Oreochromis niloticus: one gene and its partner. The protein of the gene in region 1 interacts with the protein of each later gene in a pairwise test. Links are inferred from orthologs where the notes say so. Each region holds a gene or a part of one and is shown on either strand. Other genes may lie near its edges. The genes, in order: cibar1 and cby1.

Region 1 (7,850 bases):
GATCTGGTGACATTTTCTTCTCCAGCTCCTCAGGGGGAAAAGAGCAGCAGAGACAGAGTGAGGGAGTTAGAAAAGGAGGTGCTTGGAGAGAGAGTAAGAGAGAGATAAAGAGGGGGAGAGAGCGAGAGAGTGATGGCGAAGGAGACACTAATGAACACAGACAACAAAGACCCTAACCTGAGCTCCAAGCCCCTGGAGACACAGAGAGGTTTTTCATTGGGTCAATAAAAGCACTGGACCGTGTCTGCGTTGGCTTGCCCTTCAAGCACCCGCTTAACTACTGAGGGAGACTTTTGTTCAAGGTTGCTGGAGTTAAAGGGAGTATCACTGAATTTCATATCTGAAAATTGCAGAGAGTGTTGATCATAGTCTATTGTGTGCAGAAAGATCTGCGACATCTTGTTTGAGGGAAACCAAAGCGCACAGGGGATGTGTTACAGTCACTATGTCACTAGATTTTAATTCAAAGCTATGGTTCTGCTGTAATAAAGTTTAGTTAGATGCAAAATCTCAATCAAACAAGGCAATCATATATTGATAAATATAGAACGTCTGTTTTTTTAAAATTTAGACTCACTCAAAGGGAGCTTTTAATTGCATCGGAGAATAAATCAATTCTTAATTTAAGGACTATCTCAAAGTTAAACAATAAATAACTGACACCAAGGTATATGGAGAAAGGATGACTATATTTCCCACTGGATATTTCAGAGTTAATTTCTGCAAGAGAGCAGCGCGGTGTCCCTTTGCCAAATCGGAGGAACGTGGCAGTTAGAGGAAGGAGAGAGAGGTTAGCCAAAATCAGCATGATGAGTTATTGACTCTTGGCTTGTAATTTCATTTTATGCACCAAGTGGCATACAAGATATCACACTGTTCATAATCCTCAGCGTCCCTGAACACACACGCGTGCCTCCCACTGACTCCTTCTTGTTATTAAAGGGGAATCTAAAGCCGTATGTCTTCCTCCAGTGTGGGAGGAGAGCCTCGAGTCTGCAGTCTTCACACCAGGACTCACACCTGAAGGGAAAGCGCGAACATGCACACACACATGCACAAAAACACTGGGGGATATATACTTAGTTGCCCTACGAAGTCCCCCCACGTCTGACATATGTCACTCCCAATCTGTTCAGCAGGCCACACATCTCTCTAGTGGGGTACTGGCACAGCGGCACAGAGGGCTGCAGAGGGAAAAGGCTGGGCAGAGGGAAAAACAGAAAGAGCTGAAGACTGAACAAGAGGGCACAGGGGGACGGAGACAGCAAGAGAGTGAGAAGAGAGCATGAAAGAGGCAGAGAGAGCTGCTGCTAGTGGTTGCCACCCTTTCCGTGCTAATTGGTAGTCTGGAAACAACACCATCTGTTCTTTAAGAAAGTCAGATGCACAATATAAAAATATGCCACCACTCCTGAATACATTTACAAGCAGCCAAGGCAAATAACTCAACAGCCCCAGGCTTCTTTCAACACAAGGATCCTGTAGGACACCAGCTAGACAGGCATCTGTTATATTTGTTATAATGTTTAGGGATGTTAAATCTAGTCCTGGGTTCCTGCCAGGGAGTGCTGAATAATGTAAATATATGATGGTGGAGATGGATCGAGAAGAGGTCTGCAGAATATTTTTTATGTATGAAGTAGGAAAGGAGAAGGAATAATTCAGAGTCCACCTGTAACCATGCCGATTGCCATTTACATCCTAGGAAAAGGCACAAATGGAAGTGGGGTGCCATCATGTGGATGAATAATGCAATCACACTTAAAAGAAGGAGAAGAAATGCTGCTTTACGTGTACCACTTAATTATCAAATAATAAAGAGAGAGAAAATGTGGCCGTAGATGTAGACTACCAACATTTCAGAATTAATATTCATAAAATGAGATGTGACTTTCATCTGAATATAGTGATGGGCTAATGCTTGAATTATGCTTCAGCAAGAAATCTACATCTTAACGTATGACGTTAACTGAAACTTCTTTTAACCCTACACCATAACCTTCTACATAACCTGATGTGCACCTTTTGAGAACTGTAACTACACATCTCGACGCCGGAGTGACTTGAATGAAGTGGAAGGTTGTAGTGTGGGCGTAAAAGGAGTTTCTGGTTACGACGTAAGTTCAGACATGTTTTCCCCCAGAAGTCTAAATCAAGCTTAAGCTGATGAAATAATCACCTATACTTTTTATGCCTTTGTTTCACACAGTGCTCATGGTGAAAATAAATACCTCTTCAAATTAAGAAGTCCAGATCCTCCTTTTGCAGCAGCAATTAGCAGTTTATAGACTTGTACAGGAATTAATCCTACAATCAAGTCTGAACTGAACAGTCTTCTTTAGGTCACAGCAGTGCATCAGCTGCCCTTTCAAGGACTTCTTGACACAGTTTTGAATTTTTTGTTCAGACCCTGATCCAAATCATAGTGCTCCTTCCACTATCACTCAGATTTTAATGCTGCTTTGCAATTTTGGCTAAATATTTAAATAGAGATTTTAGCACGTTACTGGTATTTCTGAAGGTGTTTCCTTTTAATCTCTGGTTCTTTTTACATGACGCAATCTTGACGACATGCATGATGTGGGAGAATAACAGCAGTCCAGAATTTCTACTTCATCTGACATCCTAGGAATTTTGCTGAGTTGATTGAGTGCAGCTTTTCCAATCTCATCTTCATACCCAAAACAGTGTACAGAAAAGGTACAGTTGTCTATGTGTGGTTTAACCTGGTTGTGTTTATTGATGACTGTGACCTTACATGACATTCAGACCACATTATATGAGAAATAAATCCTAGTGAGTCACAATTTTTCTTCCAATGGAATTAAAAAGATTATTGCTGAACAAGCCAAAAAACTCCCCAGCTCCCCTTAATGTCCACATCCACACACCCAGTAACAATCACACTGATTCACACTAATCACTCTCACACACAACAGTTGGAATTACAGGAATGGATAGAAAATGATTGATTGATGCTGTTCAATCAAAAATAATCCTTATATGTGGGAATAAAAGCAATACTAATGCTTTTCTTTTTACTGCAGAAAAGAAATGGGTTTAAATGTTCATTAGACCGATAAAAAAAAAAAATCCAGATGCTAGAAACCATCAATCTTAGAATGAGAAGGTTCTATGAGATGCATTTAACAAAAAAAATTAATCTATACCAACATCAGCTGTATTGGAGAGGATAAACTGGGTTCTCTTGGGATTCCAGGCACACAGCTCAATGCAATGACCGTGTTTTACATCTCCAATCTGTTACAGTGGGATCTCCCCTGCTTCAATCCCATGGATGATTAAGCGTGATAATTAAGGTTTTTGGACATTTTCCACAGAGGAGCAGACGTGGCAGCTGGTGACATTCATGCATTCCCAAACACAGAGGAGGGAATTACAATGAGGCCTCCATTCATTTCAGTGATCACAAAGTCTGCTCTTGGCACCAGTTCAAAAATAGTCAAGCTGTTGTTGAAAATGACTATTTGTGGCCCTTTTTGTTGCAATGTACCTTAATCTATTTGGGAAACCGATGGAGAGCAGCCAAATATTTGGATTTTAGAGGAAGGAATTTGGCACTGTTAACACAAAGAAAAGAAATACTATTATTGCAATACTATTAATATTTGTAATAGTACAGCACAATATTACATATATTAATGAGATTAAAAAGCTGCTTTTTGTTAGTACCAGCCCATGTTGCTGTAGGAGAAAGCGGGGAACAAATTACCAAGCATGCACAAACATTAGGTTTTCAAGTTCATCAAAACTATGTTAGAAATCCTAAAGTGAAACAGATGGATATTTAAAAATTTCATGGTTATGATGACAAGGTATTCATACAAAAATGCATCATTGTTGTTTTAATAAGAGGCATTTGTCTCAGTTAGACACTGCATTATACAGATATGCATTATACAGTCTTGAAGCATTCAAACCTTATGATTCAGAGACAGCAGAATTTAGGCTGTGTAAGAAAGGTGCATTATAATAAATAAATAAATAAATAAATACCCTTTGATATCTGGTTCAAAAAAGACTGACACTGAGAACACTTAAGGAAATCCTTTCCTACTGTTCTTTATAAAACCCTACATCAACTCCCTTTTTTATGACAGGCGAACACACATGTCAGGATGCAGCACACATTTCCGTGTTATTCCTTTGTGCTGTTGTTTCTTAACCTAGTGTAATAGTGTAATTTGTTAATGTTATTTGCACTACTGTTTACTAAAAAAAAAAATTTGTACAATATTATTTTTCATTAACTTTTTTTCATCATTTTATCAGTTTTGTATATAAAATTTTGCGCCATCTCACATTATAATCGTGTGGGTCTGCGGTACTTTTAACAGTGTTGCCTCTGTTTGTCTGTTTGTCTGTCTATCTATCTATAGGTCATCCCTGTGATAGATAGAGTAGATAATTACATTAGACATTATTGCATACCTGTCCATCTTCCGTCATCTTAAGAAGCTGTAGCTGTAAAGAAAAAGCAACTTTTTCAGTGACTTCAAAGAAAAGGACAGAAATAAAAAAGAGAGACAAAGATGGAGAGCTTACAGCTATAACGACTCCATCTCCCAGGATTCCTTTTTGCACTCCTAAAGCGGAAACGCTCCAGGGACTCCATGGAAACGGCCAGCTGGCGTGCTTGCCTGATAGAAAAGAGCGTTCATAGATAGCTAGCTAACGTAAAATCAGAGATTCTGTCAACGCGGATCTATTCGAACATATTTCACACTGTGTGCTTGCAATGATGAGCCGTACGCCTGACGCGAGAGCGAGGTAAGAAAGATCCCACCCGCCAAAACACATCCCGTGTTATTTGGTGGGGAGAGTTAACGTTAGCAAAAAAATAAACGGACATACTGTGTATGCATAAAGGTAGGCTAGCAGTTAACTAGTTAACCTGTGTCGTCACGCTTCTCATTGATAAACTGCACTCATAACGAGTTATTTGTTCGTCGGTTAAGTCATAGTTAGTGATGCTATATAGCTATAGAGTCACTATTCACTAAACGGGGATGTGTTTATAATACTAAAACAGCGCATTTACTAGTTTAGCTGTTTTATTGCATGTAGCTGGTTGAGTGACCGTATAACCAAGAGTAATGGAGCGAAGGATAACAAGCAAGGATGCATCGCATTTACAGGATGTTTTTATGGATTGCTACTTGCATTTAGATGAAACAGCAAAAAGTAATTTTCACAGGCCTTGTGCAAAATAGACGTTTATCGTTTTCCCTACTCAAATATATGAAACCCTTTATAAAATTATGTTTGATTACTGCTGTTGATGTTCTCCTTTATCCTTTCCAGGGATAACCAGACAAGGAGGATCCAAGAGAACATCACCAATGTGGAGAAACATTTTGGACAGATGTGCCAACTCTTTGCTGCCTATGTCCGTAAGACAGCCAAGGTACGAGACAAGGCAGACCTTCTGGTCCAGGAAATTGGCTTGTATGCAGACACCGAAACACCAAGCCTTAAGAGGGGGATGAAGCAGTATGCCGACCATCTGGCCAAGATTCAAGATTATCGTCAAGCTCAGGTGGACCTCCTTGAATCCTTACCTTCAATCATTATTTCATGTTCATATCCATAATTTAAATAATGGGTAGAAGAGAAACTAATGCAGAGCTGGTCTTGCAGGTGGAACGACTTGAATCTAAAATCATAGAGCCATTAAAAAGCTATGGAGCTGTAGTGAAACGGAAAAGGGTAAGTTTTACTGCAGCCTGCTGTCATGTTGACACTGATTTGAACCACACATCCATCCAGTCAGGTGGGCTGGAGCCTATCCCAGCTGTCATAAAGCAGGATTTGGGGTACAAGCTGGACAGGTAACCAGGTTGTCACAGGGCCAACGGGGATTTTAGTGAATTTTTTCAGTGCCTTTTTGTGACTTTTTCTGTCACATATTTGCATGTTAAAATCCAAAGTTTTACACACAAATTCATAAGTAAATTTGTCAAATTTAGCAATAGTGTCGCTAAATGAATAATTCGATTCAATTTTATATAGCGCCAAATCACAACAACAGTTGCCTCAAGGTGCTTTATATTGTACAGTAGATCCTACAATAATAGATACAGAGAAAAACCCAACAATCATATGACCCCCTATGAGCAAGCACTTTGGCGACAGTGGGAAGGAAAAACTCCCTTTTAACAAGAAGAAACCTCCAGCAGAACCAGGCTCAGGGAGGGGCGGGGCCATCTGCTGCGACCGGTTGGGGTGAGAGAAGGAGGCAGGATAAAGACATGCTGTGGAAGAGAGACAGAGATTAATAACAGGTATGATTCAATGCAGAGAGATCTATTAACACATAGTGAGTGAGAAAGGTGACTGGAAAGGAAAAACTCAATGCATCATGGGAATCCCCCGGCAACCTACGTCTATTGCAGCATTACTAAGGGAGGATTCAGGGTCACCTGGTCCAGCCCTAACTATATGCTTTAGCAAAAAGGAAAGTTTTAAGCCTAATCTTAAAAGAGAGATAGTGTCTGTCTCCCGAATCCAAATGGGAAGCTGGTTCTACAGAAGAGGGGCCTGAAAACTGAAGGCTCTCCCTCCCATTCTACTTTTAAATACTCTAGGAACAACAAGTAAGCCTGGATAAAGGAGCCTAGGGGGCAGTGAGGGACGCAGATCAATTTGCTGTTGGTGTCATTACTATGGCAAAGGCACATGAGGGCAGTATTGTCTTAATGATAACATATCGCTACCTCTTCAAGCCACTTTGACCCATTGCCAGCACTCTGCTAACCACTATTTTTTTAAAGTATATCAAGAGGACATCCTGTGGTACTTCACAGACAATTTGGACACTACTGTCCAAATTGACTTAAGTAAATGTTTGCCTTGTTTGGCTTTTAGTCTTTGTGTGTGTGTGTGTGTGTGTGTGTGTGTGTGTGTGTGTTTACTTGTATTCTGCTCTTGCATGCATTCATTCATTTTAATTTTTTTAAAAATGTGCCCTTTCCTTCAATATATTCAACGACTAAAGTCACAGAGCAATTAAAAAGCTATGGTTGACAGTACAGTTGAAGATAAACCAAAAACTTGCACAACAGGATCTACTGGAGATCCTGATCCTCACTGATTCACACCAAATTCCTATATGTTAAGTCATGTTTAGCAAATTGTGCATTACACGCTACCATTATTAATTATTTTGATAACTTCTGCGTATTTGTGTATCTGTGCAGGAGGATCTGAAGACTACTCAGAGTGCCAGAGACAGAGAAGCCAAACAGATGGCTCAGCTCGAGAGGACCAGGCAGAGAAACCCCTCAGACAGGCAGATCATTGTATCCTTGACTTGTTTCTCTTCAGTTCTTTAAATCTCTCTCTGATACCAGATTGACAAAAAGGCTTCAGTGTTACAACAGCCATCTGTATGTATAATCAAATGGATGCCTGCTAATATCAATTCAATTCTTCGTTAGTTATAGACATCAGCTTGGAGCTGTTTGAAATGTTTGTCGTGTCAACTTTGGAGAGTTTTACCTGCAAATGGCAAATTCCTGTGATGTGGTAACAAGTGCTGTACAGGAGCCACCTGCAGAATTAGAATGAACAGACAAGCTTATATTTCTTAAGTTTCCTTGACTGAGCTTTCAGTCTCAGGTGCGTCCCGTGTAATATGTGTTTTCATCAGTGGTAATGTATGAGTAGAAATATAAAAAACATTCCAGAATTAAACTTAGAAACAAACTCGCAAGCACAGTGTAAATTCTTTACAAGAGCTCAAACCAGTTGGACACAGCACCTGACTTATTTTAGTCCAGTATGTTTTGTGTTGAGTTTTATATGTATATATATTATTTTTGCTGTTA
Region 2 (8,204 bases), on another chromosome or scaffold:
GCAAATGTGCAATGCTAAAAGAAACTGCAAAACTCCCAAGAGATACATCACAAACTCTACAGGCCTCACTTACCATGTTAAATATTAAAATTAAGCACAGTGCAATTAACAAAAGGCTGAACAAGCATGGCTTTTTTGGAAGGATTTCTGGAAATGAGCCTCTTCTCTCCAAAAACAACACTGGAGCACGCCTCAATCTGCAAAGTTGTAGCTAAACAAGCCACAAGACCTCTGGAACAATGACCTTTGGACAGACGAGATCAGCGTGGAGATATCTGACCATTGTGTGCAGCGTTACATTTGCTGAAAACCAAACACAGCATATCAGCACAAACACCTCATACCAACTGTCAACACTGCGGTGGCGGGGTGATGATCTGAGACCTTTGTGGTCACCGAGTCAAGCAGGAACTTCTCTGTATGCCAAAGTATTCTAGAGTCAAACGTGAGGACATCTGTCCGATAGCTAAAGCTTGACTCAAAATGGTTCATGCAACATGTCAACAATCCCATGCACAGCAACAAATCTACAACAGAATGGCTAAAAAAAGGAAAAAATGAAAGTTCATAGACCCAGGCAAAGTGACTGAAGGCTGTGGCGGGACCTCAGGAGAGCTGTGCATTAATGAACGCCCACAAACCTCAATACACTGAAGAACCTTGTAAAGAACAGTGCGTTGAAGTTCCTTCACAGTGATGTGAGAGTCTGTTAAAGTCATAAAGAAAACAATTATTTCAGGTTATTGCTGCTAAAGGTGCTTCTACAAGTAGTTTTTCACAGCACTTCATGCTATGCTGTGAAAACTTTATTTTCATGTGACTGTATGACTTTTGTTAAAGATATCAATATCACGCTCATGAATAACAAGTACCAGAAGTGTTATCACCATTCCTCTTCTGATTGCGTGTATTATAATAATTTCAAGTTTCAACTTGTCATACTACTTTTATGATAACACCAGGTAGAAATACTCTATACTACTCTGTATTCTATACATGAAAAGGAAATCCAACTCCTGCACTAGAAGTGCTACTGCCTCTTCTGCTGGTGGTGTTATTAACAATAAAAGCCAGATGTCTCTGAATATTTCCACCACTGAGACCGCTCAGCATCTCTTCTTGTTCTCATGGCGCTGACCTGCAGTGCATGATGAATCCTCAGTACTGTCAGAGGGGAAGCAGCTTAGGAAGGCCACAGGGGGTGCACGTCACCTCTGCTGACCCCATTGTATTTCATCTCTTTGTTTCAATATAGTGAGGTGATATCCTTGGCCTGCTGCTCTCTAAATATAGTGCTTTAAAACCACTTATGTCCTGATAGCACTGGAGTCCACAAGAGGATTTTTTTATGGCCTGGTCCACGTGACAAATCTTTAGCCACAAAATTTCTCTGTCTCCTCTAACTCTACAGTGAGGGGAGTGTAGCTCTGTTTGAGCGTGTGCACAAACACACGCTGGATTCAGTGTTTTCTTATTACTGCCTAAGCTGCATGCTTTGCAGGAGAATTGTGTCGAGTAGGAAATGTTCATTGGGGATTTGGGTTAATTCCTGGATGTCAGTGTTCATATTTTCCCTTGTGGATTAAGGATAAGAAGTTCACCTCACCTCGGAGCTTTTGCAAGAAAGAAGTGAAGTCTGTTCTTTGAAAATCCCTCTTCTTCTGCAAATCGATCTTTTTTTCCAAAGTTACTCGAGACACATTGGTTATTTGAGTATATTTATGCATATAAGTGTGCAGTTGTGCAGCTTTTATAGTGTATGCGATGTAGTGGGAGTGTGTGTACCAGGGTAGCTGCTGAACGACATCTTTCCAGTGGCTACGTGTGTGTCAGACACCTTGAAGTCCCAGTGTTTATAGATCCGCATGGTGGCTGCATAAGTATACCAGCTAGAGTGGCCGACTAGCAGGTTCTCAAAGCCTGGAAGAACCTGAGACACAGAGAAGAGAGAGAAAGAGAAACATCTATATTTTTTAAAAGAAACAACATACCATCACTGAATCATAAAAGAAAGAGTTTAACTTTATTAAGACACATTAAAGGGGTCTTAATAAAAATCCAGTAACACACATCCATTTGAACTTTGTCTTTGTTCCATAGATTGGTGTACGTGGAAGAGGAAATAAGCCCCTTGCAATGGCCTTTTACACTCATTTAAAAGAAGAAAACCCTGCTCACAGAGGCCAATAAAAGCAGTTAGGTTTGTGTTGAGGTTTTCCCAAGGGCTCCCTCACTTGAGCCAAATGAGCTTGGCCTAACCTTTATGAGAGCTGTGCAGTGGCCCATTCCAGGCATCCTGAAAGCGCCGGACCCTGCGGAGGAGTTGGAGCGAGGTGTCAGAGCTGGGACAAGATCCAAGAGGTCACCGACACCATTTAGAAACTGGACCGTGAACGCTGATAGAGGCTGCGCAGGAGGGAAAGAGCAAGTGGCAAGAGATCCATGAAATGACTGTGACAACTCTCTCACAACCACAAACACACACATACACACCTCCCTGTGTTTGCTTTTGGCCCACAGTGCAGCTCCTGCGTGGAGTCCATCCAGCTGAGCCAGGATCAGTCCCATATGCCTCCACAAGGGGTCACTGTTTCTCCTGAGCTTCACCTGCTCTCTGGCCCACTGGTCTTGTTTGCTGGGGTTAATTCAAATGGTGCAGTTTTACATCACTCTAACAATCAATAGGTGCATAAATATAATTTGTAAATTCTGTATAGACAGTTGATAGTTATGAGGCACTATCATAGAATGTATATAAAAGATGGACGTATATGTCCGCTGCCTAAATGAGTCTTGTAAAGCCTTCAACTAAACTTTGCGATCTTTGGTGTTTTGCTGTCTTGAACCCAGGTGTGACGGGTAAGGTGTGAATATGACAGAGAACTGATGCATACCACTGCATGCTTTAAATTTACACAGCTGTGAAGAAGTATTTGACTTTCATAACAATGACCACATCACCAGAATTTATCCAGTAAGACTTAAGACTGAGCCTATAAACTTAGTGTTTCCTGAGGTCACAGATTAAGTGAGCATTAAGATAATTTCCCTAAACTTCTACACAGTCTTTTTGCCAACAGGAGAGTCACCTCCTGCAGGCTATTAAAAGCAGAGAAGGGTTGAATCACTTACCTTACAGACTGACTTTTGAAACCTTGAAGCTACACCCATCTTTTATATACACTCTGTGCACAATACTGGTTAACCCAGCCTCTGAAAAAGCATCTTGAAGGCAATGGAAAACAAAGAGAAACCCCTATAAATCCAGTATTAGACATGGGATTACTCTTAGTTTAATCCATGGCTTTGATTTTATATAATTTAACACTGTACCTCAAAAAGTTTTTCAAGGGCTCCAGAACCTTTTCATCCTTGATCAGCTGAGGGTACATGTTGGAGTAATGACTGAACATCTGTCTGCAACGGAAGGAGAACAAGCAGTGAGGGATTAGCCCACATAAAAGTATTCTGCATGTTACAGGCAGAGCTAGCAGCTACACCTAATAAGAAATGTAATCAAACTGTAACGAACTGAAGTTGACCTGTATCTGCATTATGTGTTGGACTGAATTGCTGCCACATGATTGGCTCACTGGAAAATTGCATGAAAAGTGCTCATTGAGTGTATTTTCATGCTTGCACTTTGCCTGTGCCGCTCACCCAGCAGTGAGGTAACCTTCCAGGTAGCCAGCCAAGAAGAAGGTGGTCTCATCTTCCTGAGTGACTTCTCCATAGCCTGCATTGATCTCCAGGACGCCCCATCCTGAGAGGAGCAGAGTGTCATTGAAGTACCCATACGCTCCCCCCTCGGTCTCCATCAACCCCTCCTTCAGGATCACACTTTTCTGGGCAGCATCCCAGTGCACAGTGGCCTCTTGGAGTTCTACCATTGTAGGAGGATGGGTTACATGCTTGAAGTTAGATAACACACATTATGTAAGATAATGTCATGACACAGATAGAATAATTACAACAAAAGCTACATTTTTCGGTGCTTTCTCATGTGCTACTATTTTCTGTCAAATGAATACTCATTGTATATTAATATTATAAGGACGCTAACACAATGTTGTGTTAGTGTCCTTGCTCGAATCAATACACAAGCATATTTTTTAAACTTACATTTGTTGACATAAGTGTTACAAAAACATTTTAAAAAGAAAAGATGTGCTTAAATGCATTTAAATGGTTATGGTATTTCGAGTTGCATGTTCAAATCATGTTAAATTTTAAAACTGTAAAATTTAGACCGGAGAGAACAAAGTAACGGTCCATTAAAGAAGTGCTGTAAAGCGGTAAAGATACTTACTTTGTGTTTAGCGGAGTTATAGGGATATAAAATTGGTTCCCGCCGTGTACAGACACGCCACAGTAAGGTTACTCACGGTAAGTTTGGAGCTTCACGTTCGCTCTTCTGAATTCATCCGTGGATTTTACGGATGCAGCTAAAGTGCTCAGCAGTACGCAGAGTGCCATTCTGCGCTTATCCATGTCAGCCGAGGAAGTCCCGTGTTCTGCTTGCCTCTCGCCTAGTTAGGCACACATATTCTTCAAACGTATTAAGATTGATCTGTGAAGATTTTCTTCCACAGACAACGAAGCACTTAAATGACTTCTTTGAAGGCTAAGGTTATCTTATGCGATAGCGAAAAGGAGAACACCCCAGATGGGACTCGAACCCACAATCCCTGGCTTAGGAGGCCAGTGCCTTATCCATTAGGCCACTGGGGCGGCGTATACAGTGGGGCGGGGTCACTGTTTTTCAACTCCACGCGTGACCTACTGAAATAGTGTTTGTTTTATCTGTACTTTTTTTTACATTACCATTATCTGCATTGTGTTGTTCATAATAGTCAATTTAATGTATGGAGTTATTTTTTTTAATTATTTGAGCTTATCCGAATAAAATATTAAAGCGTCGTACCGCAAAGACGGTAAAAGATCACCATGGTGATGCTCCGTTACACGGGTTGTTCCATTATCATTCAGAAACAGGAAGATCTTATTAAACTATGAATACGATGCCCCACAAAAAGCTGTAAAACGGTGGATTAAATTTTAGTTTCTTTAAAGGTATTATGGTGGACAATTTTTTCCCGAATAGTTTGTGCGAAAGTCGTGTAATGTTTCAGGATTGCCTACTTTGGACAAATGGAAAATTCGCACTTGCGCAGTGGCAAGCATGTTCTGAGAGAAACGGATACAGGTCACCACTTTAAGAACTTAAATAAATACTCTGTATGGAGGTAAATATGTTAGTTGTATATTTAAATTGAAACAGCATTAGCTGAATAATCTGAAAGTCAGGGGATAATTTCATTAAATTGTGAGATATGAGTGATTCAAACAGCTAGCCGCCTAGCATTAATTTGGTCGTGCAGCGCTAGCGACGGTAAACACAGTGAGAAGCTAGGCGAAGCTAGCTTTATCTTAAAATTTGTAATTCCCACTCGCCGTCTCTGATACAGGACCTTAAAAGATCACTGAGGATGCCTCTGTTTGGAAACACATTTAGTCCTAAAAAGATTCCTCCACGTAAATCCGCCTCCTTGTCCAGCCTCCACACGGTGAGTTAATGAATTTTACCATCATTCACACACTGGAAACACTAGTTATAGAGCACGTTTAGGGTGGTTAATCTGCATAACATCCTGAGAGATAGCATTCACCGTAATTTATACCTTTTTATCTTTTTTAGTTGGATCGTTCAACTCGAGAAATAGAGCTGGGCCTTGAGTATGGACCTCCTGTGATGAACATTGGAGGTCAGGTCTTGAAATTTGAAGAGGGACAGTGGATTACAGGTAATGGGTTTTCTGAATAATTACCTTTTAGTCCTGTGTGTTTGTGTGTGTGTGTGTTTTTTATCAACGTCTGCCTCCCTGTGGCCAACACAGCATAAACTCTGTTTTTTTTCTCCTTTGTGAAACCAGAATCTGGTGGAAATGTGTCTAATAGGGAAGTTCAGCGGCTTAAGAAAAGAAATATCCAGCTGGAGGAGGAAAATAACGTATTAAAACTAAAGATTGAACTTCTCCTGGATATGGTAAGACCAAATGTAATTACATTGTGAGTAACATTAAGGATGCAATATGAGGCTCTGAGGTAGGAAAGTTTTTTTTGCCTCCTCTGCAAAGCTGTTATAACTGCATAATACTGCTTTTTGTAGGCTGCAAATTATATTTAAGTTATATATGTAATTACCAGTTCATTCAATTATATAACCCGGTTTGTCGCAAAATAGGTCCCAGTCTGTTTCAATGTTTCCTACACATACACCATGTATATAGTTCCACTCACACATGTATATATATACACTGCTTTTTATTTTATTTTATTCTATTTATTTATTTATTTATTTTCCACCTTCGATGTATATTGGTTTCTCTTTTTCTTACTTTAGCACCTTTGTGGTCCAGCTACCCAATTTCGCTGTGCAAGAAACTGCACAATGACAATAAAAAGCTCTAAGTCTAAGTCTCTAAGTCTCTAAATAGTAATCTTTAATCTTTTCCTTCAAGTTGACCGAGACTACGGTAGAGTATCACCTGATGGAGAAAGAAGTGGAAGAAGTCAAGACTCAACATCGAAGGAAAAAGTGACAGATCTGATCTAGTGCCTCCATTGAATAAAGTGTTTTCTTCCAAGGAAAATTTTTTTGTATCTATAGATAACAGGACAAAAGTAAAAATATCATCCATTTTCCTCACAATGAGGATTCTTGTGTTACATCTCACTCTTTATTTTCCATTTACTGTATGTGTTCTGTTTTTAATTTGTTGAGTTATTCCACCTTAAAAACCTTCTTTGGTCAATACACAGCCTATTTTCTATGCTTTGTACATTTGTATGTGATGTAAAACCTGCTTTTTAATTTTAATTTTTTCTATTTTCTTTTTGGATTAAAAGTAAACTATTGACAAAAGGCATTTCTTTCTTTTTGTTTGATTTTTGGTTTTTAGAAAATAACATTTGTGAATTGTTGGATTCATAGAAGCTCTAAAAATATACAGTAACACATTACAAAGAAAAAAATAAGAAAAGTAAGGCTTCATTCACTATTTTGGCTTTTCATTCAGCTCCACATAGTATAAGAGCAATAATCTCATATACAGTATGCCTTCCATATAGTTACTGAGTAACTTTTGTCACTGTAACTTTTGTGTGGTCAGAATTATTTACAGCTTTAATACATAGCATACAGGGCTTCTCTTTTTGTACATTGTTTTCTTTTATTTAGCTCACAAACAGAATAAAAACATGCTTTTGAAACAGGCTCAAACCCATGAAAGGAAAAGGGAAACTGAAGGCATTACATTTAATTCTTTTATTAGTTTTAGTAGTGCATAAACCTGCACAAACTCTGAGGCTGTATCTGTCTTCAATTTCAGCATCTCCTTCCCGACCGACCAATAAAGCTTGATTTATTTGTGAATTATGCTATGTTGTTCAGTCAGTCATAGGAGTTTATTCAGCACTGTCTAAAGGTTTTGTTTACTACAGTCATAGGTAGAGAAAATAAAGACAACAATGCCAAAACTTTCAGTTTATCTACCAAAATGCATTTCTAAAAACTTGGATTCAAATAACCAAATACATAATTATTATTTTATTTATTTATCCATTATTATATTATTAAACAGAAAAGCGTTACATGCAACTTTTATGAATGATGTAACTCTCTTTATCCAATTGGTCAATCCCACGTTTCAATCACGCACAGTGCGGCTCATAGTCCCAACTGCGCATGCGTACGTCTCCGCGAGCGAAAGAGGCGTCTGCCAATAGCGGGAGAGACGAAGTACTTTTTATTCTTTTCATCTAGCACTTTAAATCACCGGCGTTTCGAGTGAACTGTTGTATTATTCTTTGACGTTGTGGTGGACTTTTATAGACCTTACCTATAACAATGCCTCGTGGTGGTAAGTATTAAAACGAAAATTCACATAATGTGCCTCTTTTTGCGAGTACATTTTAGCTAGCGGATCATTAGCCCTTTGAATTCACACATGCTTAGCATGTTTAGCATGCTACATAGTTAGCATAATGTAATTTGCCGGTAAGAACGGTTTATTAAAGGCATCGGAAACGTACCGATATCCAATTATTTATTTGTTTTCACGTGAGCTCAGATGACGACTTGGTGTTAACTTAAACCTGAATAGTATTTGATTTTTTGTTTTGCTTTTGGTTGCTTGCTTTCA

Evidence for each region.
Region 2: the proteins of cibar1 (region 1) and cby1 interact in binary tests that used the Homo sapiens proteins (3 or more experiments, as listed by UniProt). The two-hybrid records come from large-scale screens. The link is inferred for Oreochromis niloticus from reciprocal best matches to the Homo sapiens genes CIBAR1 and CBY1.

What each region holds. Positions count from the first base shown.
Region 1 is NC_031985.2:21,571,252-21,579,101, reverse strand, and holds the start of cibar1 (CBY1-interacting BAR domain-containing protein 1), read left to right. Parts: upstream 1-4,605; 5' UTR 4,606-4,759; coding exon 4,760-4,791; intron 4,792-5,325; coding exon 5,326-5,560; intron 5,561-5,661; coding exon 5,662-5,730; intron 5,731-7,220; coding exon 7,221-7,322; intron 7,323-7,635; coding exon 7,636-7,641; intron 7,642-7,850. UniProt on the Homo sapiens protein: Plays a critical role in regulating mitochondrial ultrastructure and function by maintaining the integrity of mitochondrial morphology, particularly the organization of cristae.
Region 2 is NC_031973.2:22,606,241-22,614,444, forward strand, and holds cby1 (protein chibby homolog 1), read left to right. Parts: upstream 1-5,107; 5' UTR 5,108-5,240; coding exon 5,241-5,246; intron 5,247-5,468; coding exon 5,469-5,567; intron 5,568-5,698; coding exon 5,699-5,804; intron 5,805-5,933; coding exon 5,934-6,046; intron 6,047-6,521; coding exon 6,522-6,602; 3' UTR 6,603-7,909; coding exon of another isoform or gene 7,910-7,922; 3' UTR 7,923-7,923; downstream 7,924-8,204. Other genes in the region: plbd1b (phospholipase B-like 1), read right to left, coding at 1,786-1,930, 2,260-2,406, 2,494-2,635, 3,334-3,417, 3,661-3,883, 4,386-4,491; pdap1a (pdgfa associated protein 1a), read left to right, coding at 7,910-7,922. UniProt on the Homo sapiens protein: Inhibits the Wnt/Wingless pathway by binding to CTNNB1/beta-catenin and inhibiting beta-catenin-mediated transcriptional activation through competition with TCF/LEF transcription factors.